3 linked regions of the Rattus norvegicus genome follow. The protein of the gene in region 2 purifies or fractionates together with the protein of the main gene of each other region. This does not show direct contact. Links are inferred from orthologs where the notes say so. Each region holds a gene or a part of one and is shown on either strand. Other genes may lie near its edges. The genes, in order: Nck2, Rhou and Pak1.

The links.
Region 1: the proteins of Rhou (region 2) and Nck2 purify together in Homo sapiens (co-immunoprecipitation; 3 studies listed by BioGRID and IntAct, with this or other methods). This does not show direct contact. The link is inferred for Rattus norvegicus from reciprocal best matches to the Homo sapiens genes RHOU and NCK2.
Region 3: the proteins of Rhou (region 2) and Pak1 purify together in Homo sapiens (co-immunoprecipitation; 5 studies listed by BioGRID and IntAct, with this or other methods). This does not show direct contact. The link is inferred for Rattus norvegicus from reciprocal best matches to the Homo sapiens genes RHOU and PAK1.

Annotation. Positions count from the first base shown.
Region 1 is NC_086027.1:53,293,846-53,297,495, reverse strand, and holds part of Nck2 (cytoplasmic protein NCK2), read right to left. Parts: intron 2,620-3,650; 5' UTR 2,604-2,619; coding exon 2,378-2,603; intron 1-2,377. UniProt on the Homo sapiens protein: Adapter protein which associates with tyrosine-phosphorylated growth factor receptors or their cellular substrates. Maintains low levels of EIF2S1 phosphorylation by promoting its dephosphorylation by PP1.
Region 2 is NC_086037.1:68,545,372-68,549,021, forward strand, and holds the end of Rhou (rho-related GTP-binding protein RhoU), read left to right. Parts: intron 1-743; coding exon 744-1,199; 3' UTR 1,200-3,362; downstream 3,363-3,650. UniProt on the Homo sapiens protein: Binds to and activates protein kinase PAK1. Plays a role in the regulation of cell morphology, cytoskeletal organization and focal adhesion assembly during cell migration. Also stimulates quiescent cells to reenter the cell cycle.
Region 3 is NC_086019.1:161,623,343-161,626,992, reverse strand, and holds part of Pak1 (serine/threonine-protein kinase PAK 1), read right to left. Parts: intron 2,739-3,650; coding exon 2,626-2,738; intron 983-2,625; coding exon 865-982; intron 1-864. UniProt on the Homo sapiens protein: Protein kinase involved in intracellular signaling pathways downstream of integrins and receptor-type kinases that plays an important role in cytoskeleton dynamics, in cell adhesion, migration, proliferation, apoptosis, mitosis, and in vesicle-mediated transport processes.

The sequences.
Region 1 (3,650 bases), on a different chromosome or scaffold from region 2:
TAATGAAACTAATTCTCTTCCAGTAACACACAAAAAAGCCTACATACACTCAGCCCAGGTGATGATACTGGCTTACTTCCACAACAAACCTCAAGTGGCGAGCTGGCCTTGTTGCCTATAGACAACTTTATACTTTACCTGAGGAGGCAGCAACTGTAAACTGTCAGCTCAGTTCAGTTGTCCTTCCACAGAGCCCTCCCAATTATATTCTCAGACAATCTGAGGCAGTAACCATGGTTGGTGAGGACAATGTACACACTCAGGTATGCTTCCCTACCACTGAGGTAGCGAACCCCTGTCTGATCAGGTGCTATGGATTACTGGGGTTCGAATGTATCTCCTTACCTTGTGCTGAATTTAATCCCCTACAGAGGTAGTAAGAAAGAAGAAACTGGTTCCTATAACAGTGGTTAGAAGTGGGGCCTTTGGGTGATAGCAGTTGCATAAATTCTGTTTACAGAGGGAACAGTATCAAAAACACACACATACAATTCTTTATCCCTCCTGGTCTCTTGCCATAAGGAACTTGTACCATACTGAAAATTTGCCAAGAAGGAGATATACATACAGCCACTTGACTTTGGACCATGAGTGTAAGCCAAATTAAGCAGTGTTCTTTATATAGCCTAACCTCAAGCAGTTTGTTACAGTGTCAGGAAATGAACTAATATACCAGAGGAAGACAAGAGGCACAGCTATGAAGAATGTGATAACCAAACAGGGCTTATGGAGGTATCCATCTGAGAGACTTCTGATGTCATGTTTCTAATCACCCCAACTACACATTAACCAACTGCCCGAAACTGTAGAATAAACTATGCTATCACCGAAGACGAGGGGAGAAGTGCCTTCTCCTTCTGTGTGCAGAGGCCAGCATGGGAATTTGTAAGATAAAAGGTGATACACTGACAGAAAAAGCTACTAAACTTGTCATGATTCTAAGTCAGGGTCCTCTACTGTCTGGATACAAGGAGACAGACAGCTGTGTAGGGGTCCTTAGCACCATGAGGAGGAGTTGATTTACCCAAGATCCCAAACTGTATAATTTATCCAGAGAATGATTAGTGTTTATCTTAATCTCAATATAAAACCCCAGAAGGTAGGAGGCTATCAACATTAATACCGGCCCCAAAACACATACACTACATACACATACACACACACATGCACCACATACATACACACACTCCTACCACACATACACACACACAGCACATACACATACACACACACACACACACACACACACACAGGCACCACATATATACACTACCCACACTCCTACTACACATACACACACATAGCACATACATACACACACACCTATACACACACTATGCACCTACCATATACAACACACCCTACAACTACTCCACACACACAAACACACTGAATACACAGCCACATACATACACATACTATACACATTCCTACCATACACACACACATATTACACACCTACCACATACATATACACCCCACAACATATACACCTACTCCATACACACAAACATACTGAATACACAGCCACATACATACACTACACACATTCCTACCACACACAGCACATACACACACACTATACACCTACCACACACATACACACATACTACACATGCAAACACATACTACATATCTAACACACACACACACCTACACACACACTACACACCTACCACATATAACACACCCCATAACATACATACATACCTACTCCATACACACAAACACACTGTATACACAGCCACATACACACACACACTACACACATTCCTATCACACACAACACGTACACACACACTATACACCTACCACACACACACACACACACAACACATGCATACACACACTATGTATCTAACACACACACACACACACACACACACACACACTACACATGCATACACACACTACGTATCTAACACAGACACACACACAGAGACACAGACACACACGCACACACACACACACACGCACACACACTACACATGCATACACACACTACATACCTAACACACACACACTACACATGCATACACACACTACATACCTAACACACACACACACACTACACATGCATACACACACTACATACCTAACACACACACACACACTACACATGCATACACACACTACATACCTAACACACACACACACACTACACATGCATACACACACTACATACATAACACACACACACACAACACATGCATACACACACTACGTATCTAACACACACACACACACAGACACAGACACAGACACACACGCACGCACGCACGCACGCATGCACGCACACGCACACTGAAGCAGCAGTGCTAACCCTGGCTGTTCCTGTGGGACGACCTGCTATTCCAGGTGGGGTATGGACACTCACCTAGCGTGTCCTTGAGATTCTTCACCAGGGACCCCTTCTTCAGGCTGTTCTTACGCTCCACGTAGTTGGAAGGCACGTAGCCTGTCCTGTTGGCCGCATTCCTCACCCGCCACCACGTCTTGGAGTCGTCCAGCAGCCACAGCCGCTCGTTCTTCCTGATGTCGAGCTCCTGGTCCTGCTGGGCAGTGTAGTCCCACTTGGCTATGACAATGACTTCTTCTGTCATCTTTCATGGAGCCCTTCTGCCAGCAAAACATTTAAAGATGCTCATTAGCTACCTGAACCCCTCTCCTCTGACAGATTTGAAAAGCTGTCAACGACAGCTCCCATGGCCACACTGCCCCCGGTCTCCTCTCAGCCCCTTGAAGCACTTGCCCTTAGAATGACCTACCCGTAGGCCCTAGTGCTGCTGAGAAACAGCATCTTGTAATCAAAGCCTGCAGCCCCTCTCAGTGCACTAAGCACACTGCGCATTTACTGACGCTAGATGCGAACTTGGGGGCAAAACACTCAGAATAATAATCTCATGATTAAAGCGCTCACTTGGCAAGTGACACCGCCCTTACAGCTGATAGGTTTGCACTCCTATTTTCAGCACATGCTGAGGATTTTGAAGATATTTAATAAATATAACACACCCAAACCACTCCTATAAACTCAAATTCAATTAATGTACTACCAATGCACTGAGGTATTTGGAGATGGATGGTAAAATACACCAAGAAAATTTGTAAAAACACTGTTGAAATGTAAACAAAGCCTAGACAACAGCGACGCGCCCAGGCTAGCTAGTTTTGACAATTCAATATAATATGTTAACACTGGAGAAATTAGCTAGGGGCTAATTTCCTGCATAAATAACTGTACAGAACTATTCCTATAAATATAAAATCATACCGTAAAACAAAGCAATACTTGGATATTCACTTCTTTATTCAAATTGCCCAAACTGGGAAATAACCAAAGATACCCTCCAGGAGGTGAACTGCTAAACCAATTGTCTGGTTTAAGGCAGTGGGATGTTTAAGTGCTAGGGAAAGAGCAGAAGAAAATGCAGACGCTTCCTAGACCTGAAGGCAGGCAGCGAGGCCAGAAAGGCTGGGCATGTGGATTTGGACATGGGGTCTCCTTTGAGCAAACTTTACTGAAGTCCCTGGGAACCCTGTTCTCTGTAGCTTTTGTGTCCATCTCTGCATCATCCAGTCTTACGTTAGCAAGAATCATCCACTGCTGACACCTGACCAGGTTCCTAGGCTCCCACAATGCTGCGTGG
Region 2 (3,650 bases):
GGAATCTGTTGGTAGACTGTAGGACATCCATCCTCACTGACCTGCTCCAGGTCTCTGTACCACGGGACGGTTGTGCATACTCTGCAGTTATGTTGTCTGTCTGAAACACGGTGTGGAAGCTTAGCTGAAGGAAGGGAGAAAAGTAAGAGGAAGGGAAGAAAGATAAGATACAACCAGAACAAGAATGGATTAACCGTTGTCTGGGTGACAGTGAGGGAGGGTGTCTTTAAACTGCCACTGGTAGTGGTCTACATAGATCCCTGTTCTCACTTTGAAGTCTTTCATGTTTCTGAGGAACATGCGTCAGTACTGTGTGCTGGGGCTGGGGGATGAATCGACATCCTTGTGAAGTTGTGACCACAACTGTGTGTTGTGGTCAGGCAGAGCAGGGCTGGACCTCAGAAGGGAGTTCTGTTAATAGAACAGAGTTTAAGAGGTCAAGTCTCGGGCATCAGTGTGGATGAATACTGACTTTCAGAAGAGTCAAGTTCCAGGATTTAAAAAAGAGAGTTGGGGTCACTGTGGGCCAGAGCTCATCTGCTTTAAGTGCCTTTCTATAGCATATGACGTGGTAGTCACGGTCACCAAGAGCGTATTTGGAGTGTTAAGGCTGCACCTGTGTCCCAGGGCAGGCCCGAGACACTGGCCCCTCTTTATAGAAACAGGTTTTCTCTGAGTATCCTGGCCCTGAGGTTGCTTCCTAAGGTGGCAAGAGCTAACGAGGGCTTTGTGCTTGGTTTCAGGATGAGTTTGACAAGCTGAGGCCCCTCTGCTACACCAACACGGACATCTTCCTGCTGTGTTTCAGCGTGGTAAGTCCCACATCCTTCCAGAACGTGGGCGAGAAGTGGGTTCCGGAGATCCGACGTCACTGCCCTAAGGCCCCCATCATCCTGGTCGGGACACAGTCGGACCTCAGGGAAGATGTCAAAGTGCTCATCGAACTGGACAAGTGCAAAGAGAAGCCGGTGCCGGAAGAGGCGGCGAAGCTGTGCGCCGAGGAAGTCAAAGCCGTCTCCTACATTGAATGCTCAGCCTTGACTCAGAAAAACCTCAAGGAGGTTTTCGACGCTGCCATTGTTGCTGGTATCCAGCACTCAGACTCCCAGCAACAGCCAAAGAAGTCTAAAAGCAGGACCCCGGATAAGGTGCGGGACCTGTCCAAGTCTTGGTGGAGGAAATATTGCTGCCTGGCCTGACTCTTCTCAAACGGCTAGTGTTTAAGCTGCAACAGCTCTTTACAATGTGGCTGTGGTCATAGGATGAGCCCTCCAAGCATCCTCTTCCGCCCTCAACTTCCTGTGTGTGTGAGCCCAGGTTGAGATTCATATGCAAAATATGTTTAAAAAATTTTTTTGAAAGTTAAGATTTTTTTTTCCTCGTAAGTCTGAGAACTTAGAGCTCTGGATTAACTTATATTTCATATGAAAAGGGCTCTTCAAAGCTGGGGTGTCAGCATGAAGTCCTGTTTCGTTGTTCAGGACAAAGGAGAACGGGGCCTTCTCCTGATTAAGGGCTACTGAGTGCTCAGTGCGGGATGCGTGTGCATCAGACTTGGCGAGAGTGGGTGCGAACTTTGAAACCACACAAACCATCCCCAGTTTCATAAGAGCAAACATTTGAAAACAGAGAGGGGCTTCTGCTTACAAAACCTCGTGCCCATCCCTTCTGTTTGTTTACTCAGATTCACTTAGGATTTTAAAACAACCAAAACATCCCACAGCCTACTGGCATTGTGTTGACAGAACAGTACACTTGCTTGTTCCTTTTTTTTTTTTTAAAATCACGTGACCAGTTTTGTTGCTGTGAAAATGGTGGAAATGCCTCTTGGGGGGCAAGGGCTGGGTGCACATCTGACATTTTCTTCAGGGAGCGACTCGTGCTGAGATCAGAGAATGCTCTTAGCTTTCAGGACTTCAGGTCATCTTAACATGTGGGATGTACACACTTTGAACCCCAGTGCCTTCAGGGTCCTGTGACTAGGGAGGCACTGTATTAGGGGGGCAGGTATATGCAAGGCCTCACCCAGCAGCTTCTCACTGGGGGTCACGCTTGTGGCACTTGTCCTGTAAGGCGAGGGTCTTCTGACTGTTCTGAGACAGCCCTGTGTGAGGAATGCACTTTCACAGGGTTGGAGGTACTTCCAAGACGCCATAGGAACCACACGTGGGTCACAGCTATCAGTTCACTGCGGGCAAGAAACCTCTTTATGGCCACCTGGTAACAAAAATTTTTCTGTCTGTGAATTTTTTCTTACTATTTAAAAAAAAAAAATCAACCGTATGTTTTTCTATAGGAAAAAAAAGTAAAAGAGCAGGCCGTACTTCAGGTCAAAGACTTCCTCCTGCTGGTAAATAGGACTGAAGACTTTCTTACATAATTAAAAGGCTAATGGCAGAACCACTAGAGTACATGAACTGTTAGCCAGTGATATTAGCCATGTTCTCCTGATGTGTTTCCTTCTGGCCCGAGTGGCAACATTGTTTCACTCATGAAAATGCTTGTAACTGACCTGGTGACTGAGCTTATCCTATTGTGCGTGGCTGTCTGGAGAGCCAGCCTACACGTGGGGCTTTTGCCTGCCCTGTGTACAGAGGGTGGGTGGGGAAGAGTGAGTTATTTAATTTTAAATGTTATAATAAAAAAGCCAATGTAGTCGAGACCAAGGAGATGAGCATCTGAGGACACAAACTTGAAGTCATGGGCCAGGACTGTTGGACCTCCTGCCTCTGGGAAGTGTCGTAAAAAGGACGCTGTGTGATCGAGTTCTGGACACTATTCTGGGATGCATACCCCTGGACTGTTTATGCCACAAATGTAGTGGGTTGACACTGACTGGCAAGTTTTCGATGTTCCTCCATCCTGTGGAGTCATAAGTAAGGTCTGACTGTACTTGAGGTTTTCCTGCATTTTTACGTTTTGAAAATAGAAGTTTGGGCTGAGAAATTTAAAAGCATGTGCCTGGGTGGGATTAAAGTTGGTTCTCTTCAAAGCTGAAAAGCGGCTGGAGGCTCAGCCTGGTGTCTGGGAGGATTCTGTGAGCTGTGTGGAGAGGTGCCTCTTCAGCCTTGCCTCGGTGTAGGCCGACTCACCTCACCCGAAAAGCCACACTGTAGCAGGCTCCAAAATCGTCACCTCAAGCCTGGGTGAGAGCAAACTTTCGATGACTTTGTTTTCTGCTCGACAGACGTGCAAGCAGCTACCCAGAAGTCTCAAGCCAAAAGGGGGGGCTTCGCTCCTCTGCAGGTGCCTTACCAACGTGTGCTCTTCTCTTTCCCGTGTCAAAGATGTCGGACAGGATCTTGTACTTGAAAAATGCTATAAATGAGATGCTATGAAATAAATTCTGACCTGTGGACAGAGCTGCTCTTGTGTATTCTACTGAAAGAATGGAAGCTAAGGTATGCGTTGGCCTGGGCAGGTTAGGAAGCTTCCTTGTGTTCAGGGAAAGCATCTACTATTCCATTTACTCAACACGGCCTTGTGGGCTCTGGGCTTGGTGGGATGGTGGCGACCCTCTGCATTTTGTTTGTTTTGTTTTTTGTTTTCGAGACACGACTTCTCTGTATAACTTCCCTGGCTGTTTTGGAACTTGACTTGTAGCAGGCTGGCCTTGAACTCACAGAGATCCGAGTTTGCATTGAGTGCTT
Region 3 (3,650 bases), on a different chromosome or scaffold from region 2:
GCCTCAGTCTCTCAAGAGCCAAACCCCAGACTTCAGCATTGTTTATTCCCACTATGATCTTTCTGACTTGGAAATGTGAAAATGTGCCTATCCTCTGCTGACACTGCTTCTCATGGGAACTTGCTAGAAAGTTTATTACAGCATCACAGAATTCTAGAGATCTAACTACAATGAGGAAAAAAAGTATTATTTATGCTCCTTTTTTCTGTTTATTTTGTCTAAAATTATGATTATTTACTGGTTTGAAGCAGGGTCTCTTGTATCTCAAGCTGGCCTGGAACTTGCCATGTAATCAAAGATTATCTTAGACTTCTGACCTTCCTGCCTCCACCTTCCCAGTGCCAGGATGGCAGGTATATGCCACCACACTAGGCTTTTTGTCTGGAGTTACTTTATCCTAGAACTTTGCTGGCTTGCCTCTACACGTCATTTAGATGCATATTCAAATCAAGGAAGAAATCTTCTCTGACTAGCTATCTGAACCACACCACTACCTCCTTAGCAATGTTAACTTCCTCCATTCACAGTACACAAATCAGGAAGCAAGGACAAATGTGTGTCCAAATAAAAGAGATGAAGGAAAATAGTATGTGCTAGAAGAGTTATAACTACAGATTGAAATTATGACTGTTTAAGTAGATACTTCTGGGTACTTTCTAATGTTTTTGCCATGGTCAGAACAGTTAGCTTCAGAGAAAAAAGTCATGATTATAGAAATTATAAAACACAAGCATACAAAGTGAATGATAAGTCCCAGAACTAACTTCTCCTACTATGACAGAGCCCATGCTGAAGCCTCTTTTGGGTGTGAACTTTTATGGACGGTAATATGGAGGTCACTTCCTGTTTGATCTTTGGCCTTACCTCTCGGCACACAGCTGCTATCTGGCCTTCATCCATACAGGTTTCTGTCACCACATCTGTTAAGGAGCCTCCGGCCAAGTATTCCATGACAACCCATAGCTCATCTCCCACAAGGTAACTGCAGGAAGACAGGTATAGGGTGAGAAGGAACAGTCAGAACACATTATGCCACTGAAGTGAGTTTCAAAACCTAGGGACCTAGAATATAAAGAAAACTATCTCAGCCAGCCTTTGAAGAAAAATTTGGAGGGCAGAATCAGTAATTTTAAGTAGCTTAAGTATATACCCAGAAAAAACAAAGCATACATGGTCTGTGAAGTCCCCCACACACTAAAACTAAAAATACTAGGTTAAAATATAATATCACATAGGGGCTGGGGATTTAGCTCAGTGGTAGAGCGCTTACCTAGGAAGCGCAAGGTCCTGGGTTCGGTCCCCAGCTCCGAAAAAAAGAACCAAAAAAAAAAAAAAAAAAAAAAAAAAAAATAAAATATAATATCACATCTTAGCAAATACCAAAGGATAGCTCCTAAAATTAGAAAGACTGGCTTTATTCCCATGCCTGCAAAGCATCTAGGCAGTACACACACGTGAAAAGGCAGGGACCTGGAAGCCATATTACCATCAAAAGGGAGGGCCACAGGACCTCCTTGAGAGTTCTATTAGATGATTTGAGATCCATAAGATAATTATTGGATCTTGTTCAAGACCCTAGTCCAGCACAGCAGATACCAATATGATAACAATATTTACTTAATAAATCCTTGAGTAAAATAATATGTTAAATATATATATATATAATATATAATTTTAATATAATCCAGCATAACATATGTAGCAAGTGAAAGGTTGGTAATAAATCTTTTAAAAGCTGTAAAGTCTATACAGGTTTACTATGCTGTGAAAACAGACGTGTGTTGGCTTAAGGTATGAGTTCTGTCATCTTTTCTTCATCCTAAAAATGGGTTTCTTACTCAGTAGGCGAGGACACTTGAGATAGTTTAACACTTACCTCAAACAAAGGTGATATTTTAATTCTGTTCTGTAATTTTCTTCTGGTGGTGCTAGCTCAGAGCCTCACACAGGCTAGTCAAGCATTCTATCTCTAAGCTACAATAGTAATCACACCCCAGCTTGACAGTAGTTTAAGGTGATAGAGACTAAACAGTATATGGTAAATATGGTGGTGCATGTATTAATCCCAGCAGTCAGGAGGTTGAGGCTGGTAAGCTAAAATATTTTGTATTTCCAGTTTAATGCAAGTTTATATGGGCAGGAAATGGTAATAAATTTCAGTTGACCACAAACTTACTCGTAGTTAACAATGAGGCAGGCATTGGGGTGGGGGATTGCAGATGGATGAGCTTATGTTGAGTTTAGGAAAACAAAGAGTATCATTCCTTCTATGGCAGTCAGACTTCAGAACAACACCCGATGGAAGTGAGCCTCACATTTTAAGAGAATATAGACAATAAGAGTTATTCAGGAAGGTGAGCAGGGTAAGGAAATGCTTGGAATACAGAATGAAACAAGGACATAAGGCAGATGGGCTGAAAAGGCCTACTTCCCTAACCAGAAGGCACAGTAAAAGAATTAGTTGCTAGAAGCTGAGGGGTGGTGGGGTTAACCATCACTCAGAAGGATTCCAGCATCAAGGAGCTCAGCACAGAAAATACTTAAATGGAAGCGGTTCATCCTCTCCTTTAACACTTAGGTTCCAAAGGCCTGAAACATCTGTGACAGAACCCACCCATGCCATACCTGTCCAGATAGTTCACAATGTTTGGGTTTTTGTTTTCCCTCATGACCAGGATCTCATTAATAATGAGTTCTTTCTTCGGCTGCTGCTGAAGGTTCATCTGTTTAATGGCCACCTGAAATAACAGTAAATCCAATGTGTACCAAGGCCACAACATTTACTGCGCACACATCTAGTACTAGACCTTAAATACTAAGGAAACAATAATGAGCTAGACATGGTCTTACCCCTAAACTATTCATAACTTATCAATGTTAAATGGCTTCGAAGGAAGTCTCTTAGCCAGTGGCATTTAACATCTTCTCAAAGACTGCTGGAAATAAATGTTCTCAGGTGCTACTCAAAACCTACTGAAAAGCACAAACTGTTTTAATGAGCCCCTGTGCTATTCTGATATACATCAAAATTTGATACCTCAATGTAAAAAAACACTTTAAAGAGTCAGTAGAAAAACAGTTGGTACTACCTATTATCCTAGCACCCAGAAGGCTGAGATAGAAGAACTGTACACTGATGACCAGCCTGGTTTCATAGTTTAGACGGTCTTTTCAAATGACAGAGAAAAACAAAACAAACTACGAGAAGTTCAAAGAAAGTCAATTTAAAAAAATAAAAGAATAGTAAGTTCTGAATATGGGGCTGGAGAAATGGTTTAGCAGTTCCTAATGTTTATATGCAAAAAGGATCTTCATGGACTTTGTGTTTATATAAGTCAAATACAATCCCACTTAATACAAACGATAAGGATACTTTAGATTCCTAGGTATTAGGTACTCTTTCTAAAGTGTTGACAAATCTGTTATCTTTCTTTCTCTTTTCTTTTTGAGGCAGAGTCTCACTATGTAGTCCTGATTCTGACTTGCCTAAAACTCACTAAGTAGACAGGCTGATCTTGAACTCACAGAGATCTGCCTGCCTCTGCCACCCAACTGCTGAACTTAAAAGGCACATGCCACCACACTTATCTCATTAAATCCTCAGAGGCATCTTATATGAATCTTTCTCAGCAAGTGAGGAAAATGTGCTC